2 linked regions of the Arabidopsis thaliana genome follow. The protein of the gene in region 1 interacts with the protein of each later gene in a biochemical or structural test. Each region holds a gene or a part of one and is shown on either strand. Other genes may lie near its edges.

Region 1 (7,729 bases):
GCCATTTACATGCTCGTGATGTTTGACCATAGAGCTGCGTAATAGCTGATTTTTGCCAACCAACTCTAAGGCTTCTTGGATCATTGTGTTCACATCTTCCCCTTCCTTCACAGATGATGCAGCCTAGAAACCGTAGAGTGACCATAACTTAGCAAAACATATGTATGTTCGAGAATCTAGAAAAGTGGATGAATCGATACCTTTATAGCTGCATCCACCATTGCTTGCGCTCTTGTTTTTGAACCCTTGACAATTTCTAGCATCTCTGGCTCCATTTCCTTGTCACACAGCACAAGAATAAGTGTATTCAAGATTAATCAGAAGGAATGAATTACGTGGGCACTCAAAGGTCCATTTATTATGATCCTATTCGATTTCCAAAACATTTGAACAAATGTACCGATATGAAAAATAGAATATCAGTAATCCATTACCTTTTCATCTAAAGCATGCTGTAGCGCTTGTGCCCGTTGAATCTCAGCTTCTTTTGCTTTGTTATAAGTTGTGATATATGAATGATTAGTCTGCCGTGGACTACTAGTGTTGCTTGATACTTTACCATGCAGAATGGGAGCAATCATATCACCCTGTAGAGAATTTATGAATTAGGCATAAAATTTACATGAACATGCACAGGAGGATCTAGGAAGGTTTACAGGCTTTGACAGAAGTAGTCAAACTTCCATCTTTCCCTACCTGATTCAGAGGAGGATTCATGGAAAAGCTGACATTTTCAAGTCCGCAAGGAGGGAATAGCACAGACACACCAAGGTTTGTATTCCCGCTTAGCTGTGCTTCTTTCTTCATAGACAAGCACTTATCAATTTGCCTCCTTAGACCCTCTGGCATGTATTCCAGTGGATTTAAAGGCATGCAATCAATGTCCTGTCACAAAAGGAGATGATCAAACAACTGAGACCTTATTTTACCAATAAATCATTGTGTATATGGAACTGGTATTGTATTTGAACTACCATAACCAACTCAACGCCCAAGTCATCGAAGAGAACATTGCATTTGTTATGATCAACAGTGAGAATTTTTCCATCATGAATCTCCCGTGTTTTGGGATGGATGGCAATGACTCTGTTCCCAACTGCTAATGGCCGAGCCAAATCTGTAGGAAGCCCCTCCCTAGCACCCGTTCGAAGCTCTGTATAATGCTTTCGCACAGATTCGCGGTACTGTTTAAGTTTCTCCCGCTCTTCATGTAAAAATCTCTCAGAGAATCTTCGTGGTCTACCAAGAGAACTGCAAAAAAACGAAAGAAACCTTTTATAATCTACCTATATTCTCTGGAAGTATCCAATAACATAACTTGAACAAACCTTTTAATGACGCTCCATTCAAGACGAGTAAGTCTTGGAATGTGACCAAGCCCCACGTGATTTAGGTAATCGACAAACTCCATCTTTGAAAACCAGGGATGGTCGATAGCACTATAAAACCATTCAAATATGCACCTTCGACGTGCAAAGGGAAACGACAGAGAAGTAGCAAGCTTATCCTGAAATTGGAATAAACAAATATATAGATGTACAAGATACTGATGTGCGTAGGAGAAGTGAAGTTAGAGGCTCCACCTTTAACAACAACTCTTGTTCTGAAAGAGATCTGGAACTACGTGCAGCTTTATGAGTGGTTTCAGAAGATTTAGCCTTTTCTTGTAAGCTTTTCTGCAGACTCTTCTTTCGCCTGTTTGGAGGTTTCTGCGATAAACTGGTTGGACCCGAGTCAGAAACTTGTTTAGGTGACGCTACTATATCCATCCCAGGTCTTTTCTTATCACTTGTTATAGCAGATTCCTCCAACGCCTTAACAGTTTTCATCTGTTTTGACTGAGCCGGAACTTGACCAGCGCGTTTTGTTTTAACCAAAGACTTCATATTATTCTCATCTTGAGGCAATTCCTGCAACATAAAAAACCAAATCATATGAGGTAATGTTTTCTTCAGAATCACAAATTTGAATACTCAATATGCATTTTTAATAAAGATCTCGAACTTGTTTCAAAGGATAGAAAACAGAGATCACGGAGTTCAACTAAGGTCAAAAAATTTATGTACAAGGAAGCAATATAGGACTTGCAACGGGTTTCAACTAATTCAACATACACACAGACTACCTTCTTGTTTATGGATTTGTTCTGACTAAACTCTGCTGGAGCTTCATCCCCTAGTACCTGAAAATAGAGCACAATTAACATTTACAGCTAAAAGATGCCTAGAAGAAAGAGCACAGATTAAGAGAACTATCTTGCTAACCTTTGGTTTACGTTTTCTTAAACTGCCACTAGTTTGTGGTTGTAGCTTCCCTGTGGGAACATCATCACAATCAGTGGATACCAGCCTTGAAGGTTTTGACTTTCTCTTGTTAGCATTCTCAACAGAAGAAATTGCATGAAGGAGACTATCATCTGGCTCTACATTTGCTTTTTCCCCATGACTGCTTGTGGAAGTAGCTTCTGGTGTGCTAGATTTCTCGTCCATGTCGTATTCTGTTCTTTCTTCCTTCAACTGAGCAGATAATTCTGGACCCAATGCAATTTAGTTAAATTTAACAAATACAGACAGGTAAAGGCCCTAATGCGAACAGTGAACACTGCAGAATTAACCCAATCTATATAATGAGAATATCTAGAAAAAAAAAACATAAGTTTCAGGTATATTGAAGTTACAAGCAAAACCACACAAAACTCACCTGACTCCATCAAATTTGCTGGAAGCATTGAAGCTGACAATTCGGCCAATGCTTGCAGGGCATCAAAAGCTACACAGGAAAAGACTGGCAATAAGTTTCAGATCCGCATAAGTTTTCAGCAGAATATGAAGATAGTTAGTTTGAATGGACAATGCAGAAAAGATAAATAATCAAATATAACAACAGTAGAGCTTGCAAACGAAAATATGTTAAATATCTCTAACTTTCCTTACAGAAAGGGGTAACATTGAAATTAAAATCAGGCTTCAAATTACATTAGTTTTTACCTCCGGAAGTATGTTTGTCATCTCTTTTCTTTGGGCTGCGCGGTGAGTATTTCTCTCTTGAGGCTTCAATAGCAGCCTTTCGTCTTTGTGATTTACTTCTGAGCCCTTGTGTGGCACTGCATGCTTCTCCATTGTCATCAGAATCATTACATTCTGCTTCTTCGACTTTCACTCTTTTCTTGTAGACTCTTTTCCCCTTCCGCGGAGCCTCCATTTCGCCAGCCCTTTCCATATCCATCAACAAGGTAGTATCTTTATCAGAGTCAAGTTTCCTTTCTCGGCTACTTTCCATCCACTCCTCGAAAATGGAGCTGCCACAGTGCTTAGACTGAGATTTTCTGGTTCGCGACTAGTCAGAAGCACAAAGTTAAATAGTGTTTTTCAGTGAAGCAAACTCACACAGAAAAGAAATCAAAAAGATAACCGCTTAAAATTTTGTCAAGCTGAGAGATACCATTTTCCCCCAGCTCTTTATCGGTGAGCTATCGCTAAGTTCTGTTCTTCTATTTGGTGATTCAGAAACTTTTGGAGACCCTCCCCTTCTCGATGCATCTGTTAATGCTAACGCTAAAAAATGTGCTACATCATCATTGGCATCGAATTGCTTCCTGGCTCTTTTATTTGGTGGAGTAGAGCCTTCTCTATCATCCCTCATAAATGAAGTTTGTACAGGAACCCGTGGTGTACGTTTTCCAGTGGCATGTCGCTGAGTTCCTACATGAACTAAGAAATAAAGTTACACGATCTTGAACGAATTGGTTTACAGGTACTAGACAGATGGATATCTATTCCTGGACTATACAAAGTCAATAACAAATGCAGAACAAGTAATCAACTTCCTAACCTGCTTAAATCATAGAGTAATCATTTGATTTAGCTTCTTCAGACGAAAATAAAAATTAGAAAACTGAGTTAACACAATGTAGCACTTTACCATTAGCTCGTGCTTGCTTCAAAAACGTGAGGCATCCATCTGGTGAACCAATTGACTGTTGTATATCCACTTCCTCTGGAGAATCGCTACGTTGAGGTTTAGCACGTTTGCGCTTTTGTTGTTTCCTTGGTACTTCTGAAGCATCATGGCCTTCTCCTTCACTGCCACTCCCTTCCTAGAAGAAATATCATATGAATGAGTTACAAATCGGTCCACATAACTTTATCAAACATACAAACTGGCCCAACAGATAGGCCAGATAGGGTACACAAAACTCAAAGTTTTCAATGTCATTGGTGTTACTGTCTACTCACGTTAACAATGAAAGGTTTTTCACCAACCACCCACATTTTCAACCAAGAAATTTCATTTTCTCATCTACTGGCAGGTCACTTCACATAATATCCTTTGTGTGGCAGCCTTAATAAAATAGATTTCTCACCATGACACTGTAATGATCTGTCATCATCGCAATAAGGCCAGCTACAGAGGCAGTTCCCTCGGGGAGAGATAAATACGCCTGGAAGAAGAAGCATATCTTGTGAATGCAAAGTTATGTAGGTTTTACAACATTTAAACTAAAGCTTGGAAAAGAAACTTGCCACATCGATACTAACTAAAACTGAAACATAGCATGTCCTTACTCATACCCGATTCATATTAAATAGAGCTTCCACCATGTCAACAGACCTGCTATTCCGAATTGCAGCAGCCACCTATACAAAAAACAGTCTTTAAGAACTCTGATTGCCACTGAAACTCACATAAACATATGTGAGTGAAACAGTTATTTACCCTTCTCCACTCTTGTCCGTGCTTGCGGTAAGCATCATAGAAACGCTCAAGTTCTAATCTGGTCCACTGAGGTCCCAGCTTGTCAGACAATTTCTTCTTCTATGATAGGAAAAATAAAGCACAGAATAAATACATCAGAGTAACATCTCATTCAACATTCAAGAAATGAAGACCAATTTACTCACACGTAGCTTATTTTTTTTCGATTTCCCAGCATCTTTTCTTGGGGAAGTTTCATTGGTGAAACGCTTGTTCACACTCCTCGACTTCCTAACTGGTGCCATTTGCACGTTTCTCTGCACAAGTATATTCAAATATATAGTTAGAAACCAAAAAATGCAATTGTGACAAAAGACACACTTTAAACTGATACGGACAAGATACGACACTAAGTCGATAAGCAAATTTGGCTTCCTCTAAGACATGTACAAACTACGAATTTCAACATTTCACCAGGGGAAAAATCAAGACGTTTTTAGGGTTTAGGGTTTAGGGATTAGAGCTAAGAAAAATCAAAACTCTACGTTTTTTAACAAAAGAGTAGAACCAATTCTTGGATCAGTAAAAAGCAGTGTTGGGGAAGATAAATAGCTGCAGTAATCGAGATGAGAGGAAATATTAACGAAAATCAGAATTTGGGTATTTTAAAAAACACACCAAATTAAGGAATCAATTACACACAGTGAAGAAACACGAAAATCATCCACAAAAGTCAGGAGCTTTGACAAAATTTGAGAAAATGTGTTGAGAAAATTGTTTAAATTTCAGATAGTAAAACAAAATCGAATTCGAAACTTCAATCGCTAACCTATAAATATAAATAAAACGCAGATTCTACAAATCTGAAACTGATTCCTCAAAAAAAAAAAAAAAACTTCAATCGAGTGAGCTTCCAAAAATACCCACTAAACCTCAGCTGAGAAAAAACGGAACTCGAGTCAAAAGAAAAAGAGCTAACACAGAAAGTGTTAAAGAATCCAAAAAAAAAATCCGGGAAAATTTTGAGAGTCGAAAGAAGAAAAAATTTGAAACGGAAAAAGGAAAAGCCTTTTAAAAACCCTAATCGAAGCAGATCCACTAACCAATTAGGTGACTTGAAGAGTGAATAGAGAGATACCCGAACCACCGGTGGGTTCGAAAGAGAGATAGAGAAAGCTCGAGCCTTTAGTTTCAAAAAGAGATCGATGAGAAAATATTTGAAACAAGGGTTTTAGAGAGAGAGAAGGCAAATTAAGGAAGAAGAAAGAAAGATTATTATTTGTTTAAAAACAAAAAAAAAAAGGAAGTGAGAGAAAGAGAGAGAGATATAGAAGAATTAGGGAATGAGAAAAATGAGAAGAGAGGTGTTGCCGCGAAACTTGAATACATGGACGACTTCAGCCAATCAGCTTTCCAGATTTGTCACTTTTTTCCATTTTTTCGATTTATTTCTTCCTTTTATTTTGTTTCACTCTTAATATCTGAAGCTAGTGCATGTGTGATCTTGAACGTCCACGTGGATTGTGAGGTTGTTTACATCGTTGGATTGTTTTAGTTTCACTTGTGTGGATTCTGGTATCGGTAGCAGAGGATTATATTTGAAATTACTGGAGTTTTATAAACCGAAAAATATAAATAAAATAATAATGGGGGAAATCAGTTTCTTGAAGATCTTACTAATTGAGTAATTATCCAAGGATAATCATTTTTGGTTAGAGCTTCCCAAAGAAAAAAATATTTGGTTAGATTTGCTAAAACATTTGGTTTTAACAACTTTAGATAGGGTTAATCATTTTTGTTTTTTCTTATAAAAAAAAAATAGATAAACTATTTAAAAACGACAGCGGATTAAATAGACTTGGTTACATCTGATTCTATCTGGCCCAAATAAAAAGCCCAAATACAAACTCATGACCTATAGAAACCCAAAGTAACTTGACATTAATAACGAAGAAGAGAGTTTTCAATTTTGTGATGGATATTATGGCAAGAGGCCAAATCATTAGTCAAAGAGAGCATTGGAAAGACTTGCGCAAGTCAAATTAAGCAACTGAGTTTCGTTTTTTTGCTTTTTGAACAGAGCCAAAGAAGCCATATCAGGATAACCTATAAACTACCACACAAACTCCTAACAAAAAAAAAAAGAAGTAATGATGATTCCAAGCCAATCTTGCTTCTGTTTTTTCTTCATGGTTTCATTCTTTCTACACACTCTTGCTTCTCCTACGCTTCGCCATTGCCGCCATGACCAAAGGAATGCTCTTCTGGAGTTCAAACACGAGTTTCCGCGGGTAAATGAATCCAACCAAATTCCTTATGATGTATCGTTAAGTTCATGGAACAAGAGCATTGATTGTTGTTCTTGGGAGGGTGTCACGTGCGATGCTATATCTAGCGAGGTGATTTCACTTAACCTTAGTCATGTTCCTCTTAATAACTCATTGAAACCAAATAGTGGTCTTTTCAAACTTCAACATCTTCATAACTTAACCCTTAGTAATTGTAGTCTCTATGGAGATATTCCTTCTTCATTAGGAAACCTTTTTCGTCTCACACTTCTTGACCTTTCGTATAATTATTTAGTTGGTCAAGTTCCACCTTCTATAGGAAACCTTTCTCGACTCACAATTCTTGACCTTTGGGATAATAAGTTAGTAGGTCAACTTCCAGCTTCAATAGGAAACCTAACCCAACTAGAATACTTGATCTTTTCACACAACAAATTCAGTGGCAATATTCCTGTTACATTCTCCAATTTAACAAAACTGCTCGTTGTCAACCTCTATAATAATTCCTTCGAATCCATGCTCCCACTTGACATGAGTGGATTCCAAAACTTGGACTATTTTAATGTTGGTGAAAACTCATTTTCCGGGACTTTGCCTAAATCTTTGTTCACAATTCCTTCATTACGTTGGGCTAATTTAGAGGGAAACATGTTCAAGGGACCTATAGAGTTTAGGAATATGTATTCACCATCTACTAGGCTTCAATATCTATTTCTTTCTCAAAACAAATTTGATGGCCCAATCCC
Region 2 (7,646 bases), 1.4 Mb from region 1:
TTTCATAATACACTGAGTCGATAACCCTTCCTGGTTTCCGGGATTTCTCATACTCATACAACTGAAGCAGCTTGTTGTCCATTTCATCGGCTACAATAGCTTGAAGCTGCAGATGGATAATATTAGAACATCACAAGGAAGGTAACATAATGTCGATAACATAAAAAAAATTGTCCTAAACCACTAGTGTGAGTAACACCTGCTTAACCAATCTGTAAATCAGTTTGTCCAACGTGAATAACACATATGATTGGTTTCCAATTATAGCTCTGCACTCATCCTCAAACTTGGTATTTTCAGCTGATCCATCTAGCAAACCATACAAAACCCTCATAAACCTGTACAACACACAGATCAGATTTTGATGGGAACAACATGTATATGATTATCTACATAGGCTAGTATAAAAAGTTGTACAAAGGAAGGTACCTCGCATAAGGATCTCCGGCATTGGTATCCTTTAAGTTTTTCGATTTCAGTTCACCGCCTGAGCAATTCCTTTTTGCATACAAAATTCTCTCGTACAGGATCTGAAAATGCACCACGTTATCTTTGCTAGAGAGAATCAATTTCAATAAATAATTAGGTAACTCACTTGGTGAAGCCTAAAAAGAACATAAAAGTCGTCATTCCCATAGAAAACTTGGAGATCTTTTGTTCTCTCATCGCATAAAACTGCTGCGACATGCTTTGAAAGGGGTCTGACGGATAAGAGAACACGTTCTGACTGTGGAAGCAGCTCACTTTCTCCTTCTAAGAGATGTGGATCCATTCCCTCCGCTTCTCCTTCACTCTCAGCTTTACCATCGATCTCATCATGCTCACCATTCTCCTCCTCTCTATCTTCGTCCTGAGAACATACGTCGCCACCAGATTCAGTTCCAGATGCCTCGGAAGCATTTTCACTATCAACATCGTCAGCATCGTCCTCATTCTCTACTTCAGCATCTGCCTCTACTTCAGCCTCTGCTGAATTCTCTGGTTTGGATGTGGACTTCACCCCATGATCTTTGTAAACACCAAAGTTGTCTTCAAAATCACCATTAGGTGACAGTTCACCTTCCTCTTTCTCATTTCTGGAGGGACCTTCGGGATCATCAGAATTCCTAGTACCTTTAGAAGAATCTGACCTTAATCCATTTGCCAAAACTATCGAATTGCCAACATCACCTCCCTAGTAATATGACAGAGTCAGAAGGGTCCGGAAAGCATAATTATAATATAAGACACATTTTAAATTTTTACACCCCTGGGTCCCATAGGTAGTACTGTAAATTTTTACATCCCTAAGCTATGGAAACCTCCAGGTAATAGTGGGTTTAGGCGAATATATAAATATGGTACAACGAGCAACTGAATGGTGTAAATATGGTACAACGAGCAATTGATTGTAGTACTAGTACCTGAGTCGAATGAACAGTTTCAATGCTATCTACATCATGATGAATATCAGTGAGGGTGTCGCTTGGTTTGGCTTGAATCTCATGTGCACCTTAATTGTAAAGTAACAAATATCAACACAAATAATCAAGCAGCACAAATAAAATTAAATAGCTTAAATCTGGAAGGCACCTGGCAAAACTTCCTTGCCTACTACACAATGATTGTTTTCTGCCCCACTTGGGATTGATATACTCGAGATGGCTGCTCTTTCGCTAATATCCATTGGGATAGGTTTTCCAAACCTTTTCTCGGCTTCATTTCCAGTTTCTTGTTCTTTCTGAGGTTTCACAGCAGAGCAGGCAACACCATCTCTGTTAGCTATTTCAACATCTTCAAGATTTTCTTTCCCTGTCGAATCTTTATTTAACAAACCTATCCCATGTTTGAATGTCCCAGATGAAGAATTCTCATCTCCATTGGCAGCAGATTTAAGTTTCCTAGAAGCCAACCTTGCTGTGTCTCCTCCAGAACTCACAGCAGCCTCCCCGTTAGGAGATGTGCTGTGATTCACATCGAGAGTCTTGGGGTTTATTACAACATCTTCAACAAGATCTGTGCCCTTGGCCCTGGGAGGAACACCCAGCACTGCCTCCAGGAAATTTTCCCAAAGCCTCAGAACTTTACTGAGCTGTTCTTTTGTAGAACATAACTCCTCACATGAAAACTGGACTACTTTGAACATGTCTTCATGAATAGCTCTGTTCAAATACTCATATTCAAGATTAGGATTTATAGGTTGTCTGTAACCAGCAGAAATAGACAACAGAACATCATCATCATTCTGAGACTTCTCTTTCAGCTCCTTAATTTCAGCCAACAATGCTGGTTCACGAAGCAATAAAAAAACAGAATGAGAAAGGAATAAGTGAAAGGAAAAATAGCACTGCCGGATGTATGTGAGCGATAAAACAGGATAAAGGAACTACTTGAATATAAATCTTCTTACGACTTCTATAAGTCTACTTACATTTTGCACTCAAGTTCTTTGAATCTTGTTGCTTGAAGTAGAAGCTGCGGTGATCAAGTGACTTGTAATGGTTTTTTGCATATACGTTCGCCCAGACCTTATCAAAATCGTCACGGCATTTCTTCCATTCACCTTGTTTCTGCTTTAAACGAGTTAGGATTACAGGAAGTGCAGTGGCTGGATTCTTATTTAATATGTCTATCACGTCAAGACCATGGTCGCCATAAAGTCGCTCAATACACCTTAAATTTAGGGCTGTAAATATGTCAATAAGAAAATGGTAAAGTTAATAACCAAACATATGAGGACACCTAAATAGGGGAAGAGAGAAGATATAACTACGAACTGTAAAATGGTCCCAAAAAAGCATACAGACCCGTAAAATGGTCTTCGATCCTGAAGGAGCCAGAAAAACTTATTTTCTTCTCTGTGATGATGTTCAACAAACTTTCTGCACTTCTGGCCGCAGAGCTCACAGATTCCAGCAACATGTCCAACTCAAATCTGTTATAAGCAGTAATTAACATAAATGACCAATTACTTCAAACTATAATATGTATGTTGTCAATATAAATACCTATCATCTTCGCATCTGAACAAGCTCTCTTCATATTGGTTTCTGCGCATGTGCTTAAAAGAATAATCTTCACTTCCGGAAGTGACAGATACCCAATGATCATTTAAAACCTCAGCTCCTAGCTCCGATCTCTGACTCGCAATTGGTATCGGATACTGCAAATATAATATTACAGTAAGTAAAAATCCAATGAACATGCTCAAAATGCAACTTGGAAATAGAAGCTTACATCCGCAGGCAGAAGCCGGTAGCTAGGAGTGCAACACTCGCAATCAGAGAGATCGAGCTCTTGAATAGATTTTCCCATGTACTCCTTCTTGCATTGCTCAGTTTCCTTCACAGCCTCGAGTTCAGGCTTGTGTTCACTTTCTTTCTCTTCCACCTTCATTGGCCTGGATAACTGTTCTTCGCTGCTAAATAATTCTGCCAAGTGTACCAGCAATGTCAGTAAAGATTTTACAAAGTAGGAGGGAAAGAGACAATATTATTCACAGCTGGGAAGTTTAAAATAGCAGCATACTTTTGCTCATAACACCAGCAAGACGCTGAAATCCATCTACAAAAAGAGGATGACCGTCAGAAAGAAGAAGATTGCTGATATGTAATAACTATTAAAATAACAATACGTATTTCAGTACCAGTAATACTCTCACACCGCTCGAAGAACTGGTTGAACTCATCCATCAGATCAGGAAATTTCCCAAGAAGATCAGAAACCTGAAAGAAAATGAATGGGATTTAATACAACTTCCTGAACGTTACCACAAGATCAACCCCTGATCACAAATTGCAATACCAAGTTTTGCAGATCCTTCCTTTGGATTATTCCATTGCTAAAAATATTGAGGCACTTCAAGAATGTCTGATAATCATCTTGGCTGCATAGTCTATCCTTGACTTTCTCACAGAAAACGAATGCTTGTTTGTACATACCTAACACAAAGTAAACATCTTAGAAAACAGAAGCAGATCTTCGCACCTTAAAGATCACCATGCAACCAAAATTGGAAAATAAATTCTCTCTCAAAGAGAAAGAATTAAGGTGTCCAATGTTTGGGACTCTTAAAAAATAGAAAAGGTACCAAGCAAATAAAAAAATGTTTGACACAGGAGTTAGCTTACTTTTCAAATTGTCTTTCTCAGAATGTGAAGCAGAACCAGAATATGCTTCAAGAGCTTCAGCTCTTCTGGACGACTTTCTTTTCTCTGGAAAATGGTGTAGGTTATCTTGACCTGCTTCTCTATCGTCCAAATCACGGCCTCTCCTTGCCCTGTTCTCCTTATCAAGGCGCTTCCGCTGCTCTCTTTGAATCTTCACCATCGTTTTATCATCATTAAGGTCATAACGTTCAACACTATAATCACCGCGGAGAGCAACAGCCCTTTCTCGTCGGCGTTCCTGGTGATAAAAAGTTGTAGCGGGAACAAAATTGAGATACGTGGCAAAAAATAGAACAAGGAAAAATATGAAACAAAGATCAAACGAACCTTTTCCACTTGCATTTGATGAAGTAGAGGAGGGTCTGATCCTCGGTCGCTGTACTGTTGAGCCTGACTCCGGCTATGCTGCGCTGCTGAATGAGATGGCAAAGACGCTGGCAAAAACCTAGTAAACTGTTCAAGCAAATCCAAGTGGCCTTGAAAAAGAATAGATACCTGGAGCATAGATATTCGAAGGTTAGAAAAAGTTTGGAGTGGCATTACAGGTGAGATGAAGTATATTACCTCGTTGTACACCTCTTTAATTTCCTTGTTCTCCTTTCGGTACATATTCAAGATTTCCAAGAAAGATTTATAGACATGTTCATCGTGCTTGAATCGCATCTGCAGTGAGAAAAAAGAAACTTGTACATTGAGACACAAGATGTAAGCGCACTTCAAAAGAGAAATATAAGACCAAGATTTCGACAGCACCTTAATTTTATTCACAAAATTGATGGCTTGTTCGAATTCAACAGTCTTCTTTGGCAGAGCGTCGTCTTCCTCAATAAGCGTAATTTCATATCCCTTAGGCAAAAAGGTGTTGAATCCATAAATCAAATTATTATGTCCCTTAAACAATTCCTTAACTCTTGCGATCACACCGCCTGTGTCGGTTCTGAAAATGCAAGACGAAGAATTAATACAATGCCGCCTACTAAAACTTACTTGAACTTTGAAGTCGATAGAGAGTGAAAGAGCTAACCTTTGAGCCTTAAAATCTTTCATAACCTCGAGGAACCTGTCATATTTCTCGCGTTGATCTTGAAACATCTCTTTTACTTCCCTCAGGTACGACAACGCATCATTGGTTGTCAATTTCTGAGAGACTCTCCGGCTCCCTCCTTCTTCTTCTTCTTCGGTGTCACCACTGCCGTGGACCGGAGATTGTCCACATCTGCACCAAATCATCTCTAATCGATTACTTAAAACTACTCAATTCATAACAAATATTTGTCACTCTCCATGCAGAATTATAGAAAACCTAATCGCCACAAAACAGAACCAAGATCAAAACCGAAATTTGAAGGGTGAATTTAGAGAAACTCACAATTGGCCTCGAGAAGAACCAAGAGGACGTCTAAATTGAGACCCAGAGGCATATACATCATCTCTTATCCGCTTCATCACAAGTTAATTAACGAAGCAGAGGATCAAAATTCCCTCCAGAGGAAAAATATGTATGAGACCTACTTTCTATCACTCTCGAGAAAACATATGTAGTAGATGAAATCAGATACTCAGATCTCTCAAAGGAGAACAGAATCGTTAAGAAGCGCTTTGATCACCGGCAATCATACATAGACAGAGGAAAATTCCGGCGAGACTCCAAATTCTCCGGTTTAACACACTAGACTGAATATGAATTGCGATGATACTGATAGGAGACGAGAAGTAGTAGAACGCAGAGTCGAAAACGAATGAAGAAGACGGAGAATTTCAGAGGAGTTTGCAACAAAGACGCTGAGAATTTTCGAATAAGGAAGGAGAAAAAGGCGGAGAGAGATTTTGCATTCTGGGGTCTCTTCGATGTTTCACTTTCTCTGTGTGTTTGCTGCTAACTACTGGTAAATTGGTAACTTATCTTTTATTCTACTTCAATTTGGGCCGGACACTCAAATATCTATTGGGCTTTTTAAAATAATAGGCCCATTTATCAAGAACTCTGTTTGGTCGGAAAAAATTGTGATGAATTTTTCATATAACAAGAAAATATATGTACAGATTTGCGTCAAGCATTGAACAAAATTAAGCACGAGCCGAAGAACCGATACATTGTCGGAAAAGTGATGATAAACCACAAGCGAGTTTGTTTCGTGTAGAAGATGAGATGTCTGGTCCTCTACGTATTTCAGAAAAGTATGGAGGTGGTGATGAAGAAGATGACGAAGAACTTGATTTCTGTGATGGATTTTTATCTTCAAGATCATTACTATTTCTTCCGGTTTGTTCTAGATGATTTTGAAGAATTGCTCCATTTTTTTGATCTAAGATGAATTGATCACTCCAAATACGACCCGAAGAACCTTGACGTCGGAACGAAACAGCTGATCTTTGTAGCGATGTCATTACTTAAGTTTTGAATCTTGTTACGATTATATCTTCTTTAATACCAAACTTATTTTATTCTATCAATTTTGTTGTGTGTTTGTTTCTTTTGCGTATGTATGAAGCTATTGTTTCAAGTGTTTGAACTTGTTTAAAGATAAAATGAACAGAATTAGTTGAGTTTGAAATTAGATTTTATCCAGTTTTGGATTTACTACAAAACATGCTAAATTAAGCTTAAAAGTTTATATCTACTCCCCAAAAAAAGGATATAAATTTTGATCTTGTCTTCCATTAAAATAGGATCCAATGACTTCAAGCCTTAAATAGATGTAGATTTTCTTACAAATTATTTTGTTCCAAGTACATATTTTTTTTTAAAATTAATATTTTGTTTTTTCTTGAATCAAACCAAAAATGAGAAGTTGTAAATTTTCAGTCAAGCCCATCCATATAAGCTAATTGAGTATTGGTTTGGGGTTTTTATGGGTCAAAAGAGGTTTATTATAATGGGCCTTATGAAGCTCATATACGACCCATAAGCGTTAGGGTTTTCCTCGAGAAACCTAAGAATCGCCGCCATTGGGGACCTTTATATACAAACCACACATGACTTTGACAGACATCAAGCTCTTATCAAGTCAGTTTAGGGTTCTCTGTTCAAGTTCGTATTTTATCTTCAGTTTAGTTTTCTTTAGATCTTTGGTTTTCGAGTTATGATGTATTGGTCCGTATAGATAATGCAAAATTGAGATCAGGTGATGAGGTAATACTGCAACAATATGATGGAGTAATCTTTGTGATTATTAGTATTTAAGTCTCTGATGATCTTAATCGTTTTCAACTAGATCTTTTTCGATTTGATTTTCTTCTGTTTTGATTGTTTTGTTTGAAACGAGAGATATGATGATCAACAAATTGGTCCGTGTTTCAGATTAACCGTGACCGAAAAAATTCTTAACCAAACTCTGATCTCTCTTCTTTTCTTTCGATTTTTTAGTATTTTCCTTCAAATTTCGTTTTGGATAATTTCTTCTTCTGCGGTGATGATTTTATGAGAAATTCACATGTCAGACTTCAGAGATTCTTGTAATCTATGAGAATAAATTCATATATCTGAGCAGAAGATTC

What was found.
Region 2: the proteins of ALY2 (region 1) and SNL1 form a complex in vitro, tested with the Arabidopsis thaliana proteins (one study listed by BioGRID).

The regions. Positions count from the first base shown.
Region 1 is NC_003074.8:1,537,833-1,545,561, reverse strand, and holds the start of ALY2 (ALWAYS EARLY 2), read right to left. Parts: upstream 6,036-7,729; 5' UTR 5,987-6,035; intron 5,981-5,986; exon of another isoform or gene 5,799-5,980; intron 5,591-5,798; 5' UTR 5,525-5,590; intron 5,013-5,524; 5' UTR 5,001-5,012; coding exon 4,902-5,000; exon of another isoform or gene 4,816-4,901; coding exon 4,717-4,815; intron 4,638-4,716; coding exon 4,572-4,637; intron 4,442-4,571; coding exon 4,364-4,441; intron 4,097-4,363; coding exon 3,922-4,096; intron 3,702-3,921; coding exon 3,442-3,701; intron 3,337-3,441; coding exon 2,988-3,336; intron 2,770-2,987; coding exon 2,701-2,769; intron 2,531-2,700; coding exon 2,265-2,530; intron 2,183-2,264; coding exon 2,126-2,182; intron 1,911-2,125; coding exon 1,584-1,910; intron 1,508-1,583; coding exon 1,329-1,507; intron 1,252-1,328; coding exon 975-1,251; intron 886-974; coding exon 697-885; intron 588-696; coding exon 435-587; exon of another isoform or gene 279-434; coding exon 201-278; intron 124-200; and 1 more. Other genes in the region: RLP31 (receptor like protein 31), read left to right, coding at 6,846-7,729.
Region 2 is NC_003074.8:104,678-112,323, reverse strand, and holds the start of SNL1 (SIN3-like 1), read right to left. Parts: upstream 6,031-7,646; 5' UTR 6,029-6,030; coding exon of another isoform or gene 5,888-6,028; 5' UTR 5,595-5,887; coding exon 5,518-5,594; intron 5,365-5,517; coding exon 5,173-5,364; intron 5,086-5,172; coding exon 4,902-5,085; intron 4,812-4,901; coding exon 4,713-4,811; intron 4,644-4,712; coding exon 4,476-4,643; intron 4,387-4,475; coding exon 4,110-4,386; intron 3,921-4,109; coding exon 3,784-3,920; intron 3,705-3,783; coding exon 3,626-3,704; intron 3,544-3,625; coding exon 3,508-3,543; intron 3,411-3,507; coding exon 3,217-3,410; intron 3,143-3,216; coding exon 2,988-3,142; intron 2,915-2,987; coding exon 2,787-2,914; intron 2,666-2,786; coding exon 2,411-2,665; intron 2,266-2,410; coding exon 1,573-2,265; intron 1,493-1,572; coding exon 1,404-1,492; intron 1,175-1,403; coding exon 596-1,174; intron 531-595; coding exon 430-530; intron 339-429; coding exon 200-338; intron 107-199; and 1 more. Other genes in the region: AT3G01319 (uncharacterized protein), read left to right, coding at 5,888-6,028. UniProt on the Arabidopsis thaliana protein: Acts as a transcriptional repressor. A histone deacetylase (HDAC) activity is required for transcription repression. May play a role in telomere stability.